Arabidopsis thaliana: one gene and its partner. The protein of the gene in region 1 interacts with the protein of each later gene in a pairwise test. Each region holds a gene or a part of one and is shown on either strand. Other genes may lie near its edges.

Region 1 (5,535 bases):
CAAATATCACAAAACTGAAAATACAACATTAGTATCTTTCTAACAAAACATAGGTGTAAGTGTAACGTCTCAAGGAGATTCAGGACGCTACAGAATTACACTCGTAACTAATTGTATATTCTTTTTAGTATCTCAATTATTTGCATTTTCATATTTATTAAAAACATCATATATTCCTAACATTTCACATCGACAAGAAATAATCTGCCATGGTCATGTCACTAATGCAGAAACGGAAAACCAAAACCTTTTGTTTGACAATTTTTTATCTTAAAAAATCAGAGCATTTTAAGCAGAGCAAGCCGTTTAAACCTTTGGTACTAGTTCAAGTTGTTACTTTCTTAGATTCGTCAAAAACAAAAACAAAATGTCTCTGGTAAAGATCAAAGGCCCAGACCAATATTCAGATTGGACCGGGACTTAGAATTCGGGCCGACCTAATTGACACCATCAGTAGCAACTGGCAAGCATAACAAACAAAATCAAATGACGGAAATGAATTTTAAAAATCCGAAAGCCATAGGAAAGCTTTTGAGTTTAGTCTAAATCCAAAAGCCATATGATTTTGATAAATGGTTTATTAATTAACCCATGTTTGCAGTTCTTAGATAGATGTTGTGTTTTCGCTTCGGTAGAAAAATAATCACTCTAAAAAGAATAAAATTCTCTCAAAACCATATAACAAAAGGAAATCAAGTGACGAAAATGATTTTGAACTTTTGAGTTTAGTTCCCTTTAAAAAAATCCAAAAGCCATAAGAAAGATTTTTAGTCTTAAAACTACATATTGTCCTACCTTAGGGCCTATACAAAAGACTTTTGAACATGAGAGGAGGATTGATATGTGTTGACATATAAATCAATTTTCATCAAGCGTTAGCAGTCGATTTGAAGCATGTCTCGTCCAAAGTCGAGTATATGCAACCATCGTTTGAGAGCTGTTCTAACGCTTCCCTGCCACACAGACAAAGCCGTTCTTGTCAAGAAAATTTCTTTGTTTATATTGTAACTTTATCAAATAGTGATAGGAGGGAGATAGAGATAGAGAGTAAGAATGAGAGGAGATTTACTTGACTTGAAGCAGCGGAATCCTGAGTTCACGGGCAATTATATCACAGTGAACTCCAGCTTCAGATACACTGATGTAGATCCAACATATACAACACCAAATATCAAACTCAAGTTATGCTTTTAGATGAGCGAGAGAGAAGGAGAATCCAATGAAAGAAGTTGAATTCATATGGCAATACACTTATCACTGACTCAAGAACATCAATCTGCTGCAATAACATAATCTCAAACATCGGCCACAAGGCTGATATAGTTGAATGATTTTTACATAAAATTTAGTCAAGGTTGGCTCATAGAGACTTTAGAGGTTGATTTGCTTATTTCATGAACTGCAGTTTGATCATTAGTATTCAAAGCTGTATGAAATGAATGAAATATATGACAAGTTAATTGGGTTCTTTTGGGGATATTAGATGAACTTACATGTGCATAGGTTGATTCAGGTAATTCAAGACCGTCTGCTTTACACCATGCATTGAATCATTGAATTGGTTCGGGAACTGAAAAAGATTCTGTGAGTAACTTAAGAGGACCACAAAAGAGCATGTAAAATTAAATTCTAGATTGATTTTGTCTAATACCTGATTAGATGGACCGGTTTGGTAGGGCTTTGCAGGGGTTGGCATTGTTGAATATGGCATTTGGGGCCTAGGAGTAGCAGTATCTTGAGTAATAGAACCACCCTAAAGTAATAGAGGTTAGTACCTAACATGAGAAGTATTAAGCTGTGGAACAAAGATTAAAAAAGCGGTGAAGGATAGGGTAATACCCGTAACTTGGTGTTGTACATGTGGACATACATACACTCGGTAAAGTGGTGTACAATCTCATTGAAGTCAGTGACAGGCCTGAAAGCATATTATTGGACTAAGTATATATCTTTAAGATGCAGCAAATACATTTACTTGGAGAACACAAAATAGAAAATGTAACATTTTGAGCCACTGAGAAAAAATATCATAGATCGACAAGAATTTTCAAATCCAGAAAGGCTAATAGGAAATGATTCGCTGACCACATATATCATAGACTGATAGAGAAAAGTATGTCAGGAAAACAAACCTGACTGAAAAAACATTCACAGATCGTTTCCCTTGAAAAATTTTCAGGTGTCCATGTAAGCGAACATACATTCCCAGCCTGTTATACATGTGAACTATCAAATTTTTGATATACTATTCTAAAGATCTAGGAATGTGCAGAAGAAACATACTTGACTGCTTCCATTTCTTCAGTTTCTTGCCGAGCGTGACACCTGCAGATGAATTAGCAAGAGATATAGTTGAGCTCTTTTATGAAAGCATTATCATATTGAGGCTGTATTAGCATTAGTATTATAAGTATTTACCATCTGACACAATCAACCCAGCCTGTACCGTCATCAACAACAAAATCGACCTGAGTGATTCTGTTCTCCATTCTAGAAATCCGTCCAACGATTACAACCTATACACAGATAACACCAAAGCTCAAATGCTTGAATCAATAGAGCTTAAGGCATAACATTATCAGCAAACAAGTTTTAACAGCAGAAGATAAAAAGGAGCTCACAGTTTTAATATCAACGCCATCAATAGAGAAATTTGATTCGCCAGTGGTTGATGCGCTGCTCAACTGCTTCAGTGTCAGGGGAAGCAAGGTACGTACATCGCGGTTCTGCAAAATAGTGGTGAACACTCTCATACATTGCTGGACTGCTCAAGTAAAATGGTGCTCATCTGTGATCTCTATATCCAGATTCACAAACGTACAATTATGATAAGATTCAAAATTCACAGATAAAATCCACATTTCTAGATAATATCTAGTCAACAATTTGTTCTTCGATACTTTTCATCCATGTAACATTTCCTAGAAAACTCGAATGGAACTTTTTGCAGCAGATATTCCCGAGAAACGACGAGAATCAGATACATAAACCTAGGTATAGAGAGCAGGCAGAACTAAAATTCGCATGATAAGAGAGAACTTGGATTACACAAAACGCGGAAAGGGTTTTTTTCAAATTGAGAAGATAATTTAGAGAGAGAAAGAGAGGAAACCTTGAGGGAAGATGAGGATTCATGGGCTTGCGTAGTCGCCTGAGAAGGCATGAAGCCGCCGCCGGCGAAAGCAGCGTTGCCGTCAAAATCGCCTCCGTACATGTTTTAAAAAGTTTTCTCTCGTCGTTTGTTGATGTTGATTCGAAACCCTAATGGAACGCTCGTCGCGAATTCGATCCGCCGCTTCTAATAAGTTTCTGGAATTTACTAATTTCTCATATCTTTTACAAATTTCAACTTTTCTTATTCTCAAATCTCAAGTTACTCTCATAAAATAAATAATTAATAACTAATGGAAAATTATATAGAGATCCCGCCAAAAATCTCTCTCATTTTCCCGCGACTAATTTTTAAAGTTTTCCAAGTGAATTTTTGTTTTCAGAAGCATTTTTTTTCAAATATCAATCTGATTACAGTCCATTTATTTACTAAACTGCTTTTATGGAAGGAGCCAGGTCAACTTTGAGACTCCCAGTCCTTCTTGCGGTTAATAAATGGACCTTAATAAATATGGGCCACTGGGCCCGATAAAAAGTTTGCCTAATGGTAGAGTCGTAGAGATATTGTATTCAACAAGATATTGCGAATGCGATGTATAACAAAGTTAGTTATCAATCAATCAAATAGTATCTTTTACATATTTCAGAAATTTCCCTAAGTTGCATATATATACTCTTCTTTTTGTTACTAGAAAAAAACAAACAAAAAAGTTTGGTACATATCGAATATTTATAGTAACGGTATACAGATATTATTCCGCATTAGCTATGGGGAAGACTAGTCTTTTAATCTCCCTAATCTCACGTTTTAGTTTTATGATGATAATTCAAGCGATTATTTAGTCGTGTTATTGTTTGCGTTTATCACGTAGGAAACCGAATCGGATTTTTTTTAATTCATTTAATTTATTTTATAGTTTGCATTTTGACACTTTTTGGGGAGTGTGGCCACTCGTGAGACAAAACCTCACCAACTAGGAGTATCATTTTCTTCTACGTTAGGTTCATCAGTCGTTTCCTTAATCCGAATCATTGTCTCTCTCTCTCTTGATCTTGATCTCTACGCTAAAAATGGGAACCCAGTTAGAGTTCGAGCAAATTTGAGTTTCCAGGTTCCATAATTTAATAATGTATATCAAGTCTCAATTTTTCCTTGGTCGCCTCCTCTAACGTAATTTACTTCTCACTGATCCGCAGCAACGAGACAGAGGCTGTGACTATGGCTTCTAAGATTAAGTAAGTGTCTTTTTCCTTATTAAGATTCATTCTCCGATCCTTTTTTTGATGTCGGTGGAATATTTCGTCGATTCAAATTCCGATCTGGGTCTATCTTGAGGTTGTCTATGATGATGTGGTAGATCTGACTAGGTTTGGGTTTAGGGTTTAATCTCCTGGTTTTTAGTGATTCTATTTGTAACACATTTGTCTGATTGTTCCTGTTTCTGTGATTTTTTTAATCTTACAAGCAGCTTCACTTATATATAAAAAATAATAATAATTTCATTGCAGAGTTCTTAGTTGTTGTTGTGATGTTGTATTTATGTTGATTTTTATTTGTCTTCTCTTCTACTTTATAATTTAGTTAATCTAAGGCTCCATGGCAGAGTTCTTAGTTTTTTTTTTTTAATGATTTTGGCAAGTGTAATCAATTCTCACGTGTTTTGTTTTGTTTTGTTTTGTTTTGCTTGCTTGATGAGAGACCTTTGTTGTTTTCTGAAGCAGAAATGGTTTATCTGACACTACTTTGAGGAAATCATCTTCAACATCTCTAAGAGTGCCTAGACTCACTCGGATTGTGACTAAACCTGATTCTAATTCTCCTTCACCGACTCAACAACAGTCACGGCTTTCGTTCGAGCGCCCTTCTTCTAACTCAAAGCCTAGTACTGATAAGAGGTCCCCCAAAGCTCCAACCCCACCAGAAGTAAGTGTGTTCATAATAGTTTGCCTGGTCTTAACTTGGTTTAGTTTTGACACACTATGCTGCAAATGTTGATATCCATTGTTTTGTTGTCTTATGATTGTTTGCAGAAAACTCAAATACGGGCTGTGAGAGTATCAGAATCGCAACCTCAGTCAGTTCAAATCAAGGAAGATTTAAAGAAAGCCAATGAGCTGATAGCATCGCTCGAGAATGAAAAAGCTAAAGCACTTGATCAACTTAAAGAAGCGCGGAAAGAAGCTGAAGAGGCATCTGAGAAACTAGATGAGGCTTTAGAAGCTCAGAAAAAGTCCCTGGAGAACTTCGAAATTGAGAAATTTGAGGTTGTTGAGGCAGGGATAGAGGCGGTTCAGAGAAAAGAAGAAGAGTTGAAGAAAGAACTAGAGAATGTCAAGAACCAACATGCTTCAGAATCAGCTACTCTTCTTTTGGTAACACAGGAGCTGGAGAATGTCAATCAAGAATTGGCTAATGCTAAAGAT
Region 2 (5,388 bases), on another chromosome or scaffold:
ATTGTCCACTTTATTCTCTGGATCCACTTCATCAGCTCGTTCTTGTTGGTTATTGTTTCCATCAGAATTAATGACTTCAGAAATTGTAGGATTTTCAGGTTTTTTCATGTACCTAAGAAGAGAATTAGCCTGTGATCTTACCAACTCTTCTCGTCTCTTTTGCAATTTTCTTTTATCACATCCATGAGGTTCCTTTTTGATCCCTAAAGGAGGCATCGTTCAAAGTCTCAACTCAACGCTCTAACGTACGTCGGTCGCTTGCTTCTTCACGGCAGATGGAATTAATCAGATTTTTAATGGAGGAAACCTAGAATAAGAGAATTGGTTGATGGGCTTTAGAAGTCTTGGGTTGAAAATCAGATTTTTTCTTCTCAACTCTCTTTTAATTAAGCCTCGTTGGACTTTAAAATTTTTGGGCCCTAAGCCACCGCTTATATCGCTTACGTCACGGGCCGGCCCTGCATGATTGTCTCAATCTATTTCTCATATGGTTGGTTGGTTGGTAATTTCAAAATTTCTGATGATAACTTGATTTGTTTGATAATTGCCAGGTTTTAGCTTGTTATCAAAATTGTGTCTATGAATTGGCTAATCTAATAAATTACTTGGGTTCTGTTTCTTTTTTGTTTACCTTTTTGATTATTGACGATCATATTTGGTTTTGTTTTTCATCGATTTTGTTTTCATCATGTAGTCTTTTCAATTTGTTCCTTTTTTGCAGTCGACTCTGTCAGCTGTAACCAAAATTGAAATCAAAACTAAGGTTCATGATCACTTATTCTTTTTCATCCTTTTGGAATTTTGGTTAATATGTGGTGAGATTCATGTAAATTAGTTTTTTTGGTTCTTGTTGTTGTTGTGTAGTGAAAGCTAGTACAGATGATGTGTTTTATGAGCTTCAAAACCCTAGAGAGCAGATCCAAGCTTATGTGTTTAATGGTAACTTTTTGCTTCTTTCTTGATATTTTTGTTGTTGTTGAAGAATTAGCTCTGTTTACGATTCTTGATTTGTTCTTGTATGTTTTTTTTTTTTAAACATAGTGGTTAGAGCTTTGGTGCCAATGATGACGCTAGATGCTCTTTTGAACAAAAGTGAGAAGTTGCTAAGTCTGTTCTTGAGTAATTTGAGAAGGTATAACATGTTGTTCATTCGAAATCTCATTCTATTGAGAGATTCTTTTGAGAGATTCTTGATATTTTATAGTGATTAAACATTTGTTGAGCTAATTAATTTGTTGGTTTTGAATCTAATTTTTTTCTTTTTTTTAAAAACCCCAAATTAATATACTACTATTAATCATGCCAAAAATTAAAACTCTTACCAAACTCTTAACTACAAATTTTCAATATCAATTAATAAAAATATTGCTAAGAGTCATTGCTAATAGCCTCCCATTGTGGATGCTCTAAGAGCATCATTATTGGGGATTGCTTAGATTATTCTTAGGGTAGTTCATAGGTATATATATAATTAATTTTGAAATCTTTTATGTTAAGAGTTTGGTTAAGAAATTATAATTTTGGTAATATGCAATGGTGAGTTCTTAGCTTTGAGTTCTTAAGAAGAAAAAAAAATATTTAAAAATAAAAACATTTTAATTTTAAAGACTTTAATAATGATTACAACATAAATTTTGAAAACATTTAACAATGTAGTTAATATTTTACACTCACCCAATAAAAACTTGACACATGTCTAGCTCTTAGATTTAATTTTTGCTCTTATATAAGAGCAATTCTTACCAAAGAAATCAATTAAAACATTAAATTTCTAATCTAATTAACATAAGAACTAGTCTGAGCTTACCAATAAGGATGTTCTAAGGGGTTCTATAGTCTTTCTCTCTTTCGAGAATTTAATCCAAGTCGTTCACAGTTACGAGTCGAGGGTAAATTAGTAGTTTTACACTGAAATATCAACCAAAAAATTTCAAAATTGAAAAATCTCCATAAACTGTTTTGCGACCCAAAACAACATCTTTTAAGCTTCTCCCGCAAAATTCAGCAAAGCTTTCGGAGGAATCTCCTAACAGTCACCACCACCACCACCGTCTAGGTCAAATCTCGTCTTCCTCACGCTCTATTTCTCCATAGAATATTTCCTAACTCCTCCTCCGGTTTATCGATTTTTTCAATTTTTCTAGGGTTTCGCGCCGGGATCTAAAAAATCACAATCATGCCGGTGAGTTTGACTCCGAACGCAATCACGGCGATACATGACGGCGACGTGAATTTGAAGCCGTTGTTACAGGTTTTAGAAATCAAAATGATAGGAAGAAGTCAAGAGAGAAGCCAGGAGAGGTATCGTTTCCTCATTTCAGATGGTGTTTCTGCTCAACATGCTATGGTCGCGGTTCAGCTTAATGATCGAGTCAAGTCAGGACAATTTGAGAAAGGATCTATCGTTCAGCTGATTGATTACATTTGTAGCGACGTTAAAGGCCGCAAGTAATTTTTCCATTTTCTCTCTGGTTAGATCTAGTTTTCGTTGTGTTGAATTGCTTAGTTTTCTAGTGATCTCTGATTTGTTGCTTAGTAATGTTTCTGAGTATTCGTGGCTATGTATTTGGTTTAGTATGTGTAAGGCATTTGTTACAATGAGTTTGCAGAAGCAATGATAGCTTCGCTTTTGGTAGAGACCTTTCAATGAGGTTTCGTGTATTGATGAATGATTTTGGTTAACATGTACTAGTGGGAAAGATTTGTGTTGTTGTCTTTGTAGTTCATGGTATTTAATGGTTGGTAGGCAGATGTTAAGGACAACATTTAGGATGATAATGGAGATGATTTTGTTGATTGTGTGAGTTGGAAAATATAGTTACACAATTGTTTTGGTTGAACATGACATATTTGAAGGAGTTTTGCTCTCTTTGATTGTGATTTTCTTATGGATTTATTCATACTGTGTACAGGCTTATTGTGGTGCTGAACATGGAGACGATAGTACAACAGTCTGAAACCATTGGGAACCCTACAATATTTGGAGAAACAGATACAGAAGCCCAGAAGACATTTTCAGGTACGGGCAATATACCGCCTCCGAACAGGGTTGTTTTTAATGAACCAATGGTTCAGCATTCTGTTAATAGAGCACCTCCCAGGGGTGTAAACATTCAAAATCAAGCCAACAATACTCCAAGCTTCAGGCCATCTGTTCAACCTTCATATCAACCGCCTGCAAGTTACAGAAATCATGGACCCATCATGAAGAACGAGGCTCCAGCTCGAGTCATCCCTATTGCTGCTCTCAATCCATACCAAGGTCGATGGGCTATTAAGGCTAGAGTAACTGCGAAAGGAGATATCAGACGATATAACAATGCAAAAGGAGATGGAAAGGTTTTCTCGTTTGATCTGCTTGACTATGATGGAGGGGAGATTCGGGTTACGTGCTTTAATGCTCTTGTTGACCGTTTCTATGATGTTACTGAGGTTGGTAAGGTATATTTGATTTCAAAGGGAAGTTTGAAGCCTGCACAGAAAAATTTCAACCACTTAAAGAATGAATGGGAAATTTTCTTGGAGTCAACATCGACTGTGGAGCTTTGCCCTGATGAAGATGGCTCCATACCAAAGCAGCAATTCTCCTTCCGCCCAATAAGTGACATTGAGAACGCTGAGAACAATACCATACTCGATGTCATTGGTGTGGTGACTTCTGTGAACCCCTCGGTGCCAATCTTGAGAAAGAACGGGATGGAAACCCATAGGAGGATCCTGAATCTAAAGGATGAATCAGGAAAGGCTGTAGAGGTAACACTTTGGGGAGAATTCTGTAACCGAGATGGTCGGCAACTGGAAGAGATGGTTGATTCAGCTTTTCACCCGGTTTTAGCAATAAAAGCTGGAAAAGTAAGCGACTTCAGTGGGAAATCAGTAGGGACAATATCTTCAACACAGCTCTTCATAAATCCAGATTTCCCTGAAGCTCATAAACTACGGACCTGGTTCGATTACGGGGGAAAAGACACTGCTTCCTTCTCCATCTCCAGGGACACTATGCCTGGAGGAGTTTCCAGGAACGAGATAAGGAAAAATGTTTCTCAGATCAAAGAGGAAGGTCTTGGAAGATCAGATAAGCCTGACTGGATCACTGTGAAAGCAACCATATCATTCATCAAAACAGATAGCTTCTGTTATACAGCTTGTCCTTTGATGATCGGGGATAAACAATGCAACAAGAAGGTTACACGGTCTGGAACAAACAGGTGGCTCTGTGACCGGTGCAACCAAGAGTCTGATGAATGCGACTATAGATACCTTCTTCAGGTACAGATTCAAGACCACACTGGGTTGACTTGGATAACCGCGTTTCAAGAAACAGGAGAAGAAATAATGGGATGTCCGGCTAAGAAGCTTTACGCAATGAAATACGAATTGGAGAAGGAGGAAGAGTTCGCAGAGATTGTTAGAGACAGACTGTTTCATCAGTACATGTTGAAGCTGAAGATCAAAGAGGAATCGTATGGGGATGAACAAAGAGTGAAGATGACTGTTGTGAAGGTTGATAAGGTGAATTATACATCCGAGAGTAAATACATGCTTGATTTGCTCGTAAGGTAAGTTCGTTCTAGGTATTACAGTGAGGTATTTCAATTAACTCAGAATATGCAAGCTCGAGTTTAGTACACTATTATATTATGAATTGATGAATTCTATTGAATCTTGATTCAATGAAGCTTAGTGTTATGATTTCAAGTCTCAATCGTCTTTCGAATTCAGGAAACAACAAATTTGACTTTTATCCAAAAGTTCATTGCTGCAACATTGAAACGAATACACAGAAGGAGAACAGATTACAATAATGATGTAAGAAAGATATATAGGTCTTAGGTTCTCTTGACAGGGTCAAAGTTGGAGACGCCGACGACGACACCAATGATGACAGTGAGGACGAGGCCACCAGAAGCAATGCTGAGCAAGAAATTCTTGAGGGAAGGAGAGATTCCAGAACCAGCAGCTTCAGCTATCTCCGGAATCACCATCGAAGCAGTAAGAGCAGCCGCGGAGATACCGGTCAAAGCCTTGTCCATCTTGAGGGCCTTAACTTGAAGCCTCTGTGCTCTGCCTCCAGTTGCAACCAAAGCCTTGGATGGTTTCAGAGGTAATGGCTTAAGGAAAGGAGACGAACGGGTCTGGTTAAGTGGTGTGACCAATGACATCGCGGAGGTAGAAGCCATCTCTTCCGATCTCTTTTTGGTCTCTCTAGATTGATCTTTCTGAGATTCTCTTTCGAAATGTGTGAAGTTGCTGAGAAGAATGGTATTTGAGAAGAGAGATTTGAGGTTAGTGATGTTCAGAGATTGGAGATGTGAGATATGAATCTTACGTGGCAGCTTCTGAGCTTCCTAATGGCTCATTGGATAGATAACGTTATCTTCATTTGCG

Evidence for each region.
Region 2: the proteins of RPA32B (region 1) and RPA1A interact in a two-hybrid assay, tested with the Arabidopsis thaliana proteins (one study listed by BioGRID).

Annotation. Positions count from the first base shown.
Region 1 is NC_003074.8:650,976-656,510, forward strand, and holds RPA32B (Replication protein A, subunit RPA32), read right to left. Parts: upstream 3,506-5,535; 5' UTR 3,215-3,505; coding exon 3,113-3,214; intron 2,727-3,112; coding exon 2,622-2,726; intron 2,517-2,621; coding exon 2,419-2,516; intron 2,326-2,418; coding exon 2,284-2,325; intron 2,211-2,283; coding exon 2,133-2,210; intron 1,919-2,132; coding exon 1,840-1,918; intron 1,754-1,839; coding exon 1,652-1,753; intron 1,571-1,651; coding exon 1,494-1,570; coding exon of another isoform or gene 1,490-1,493; exon of another isoform or gene 1,139-1,489; coding exon 1,070-1,138; intron 954-1,069; coding exon 869-953; 3' UTR 597-868; downstream 1-596. Other genes in the region: AT3G02930 (weak chloroplast movement under blue light protein (DUF827)), read left to right, coding at 4,331-4,347, 4,834-5,035, 5,143-5,535. UniProt on the Arabidopsis thaliana protein: Component of the replication protein A complex (RPA) required for DNA recombination, repair and replication. The activity of RPA is mediated by single-stranded DNA binding and protein interactions. Required fo cell division in meristems.
Region 2 is NC_003071.7:2,583,039-2,588,426, forward strand, and holds RPA1A (replication protein A 1A), read left to right. Parts: upstream 1-1,945; 5' UTR 1,946-2,056; intron 2,057-2,144; 5' UTR 2,145-2,176; coding exon 2,177-2,448; intron 2,449-2,912; coding exon 2,913-4,563; 3' UTR 4,564-4,648; downstream 4,649-5,388. Other genes in the region: AT2G06500 (hAT family dimerization domain-containing protein), read right to left, coding at 1-112, 142-185; PSBX (photosystem II subunit X), read right to left, coding at 4,830-5,180. UniProt on the Arabidopsis thaliana protein: Component of the replication protein A complex (RPA) required for DNA recombination, repair and replication. The activity of RPA is mediated by single-stranded DNA binding and protein interactions.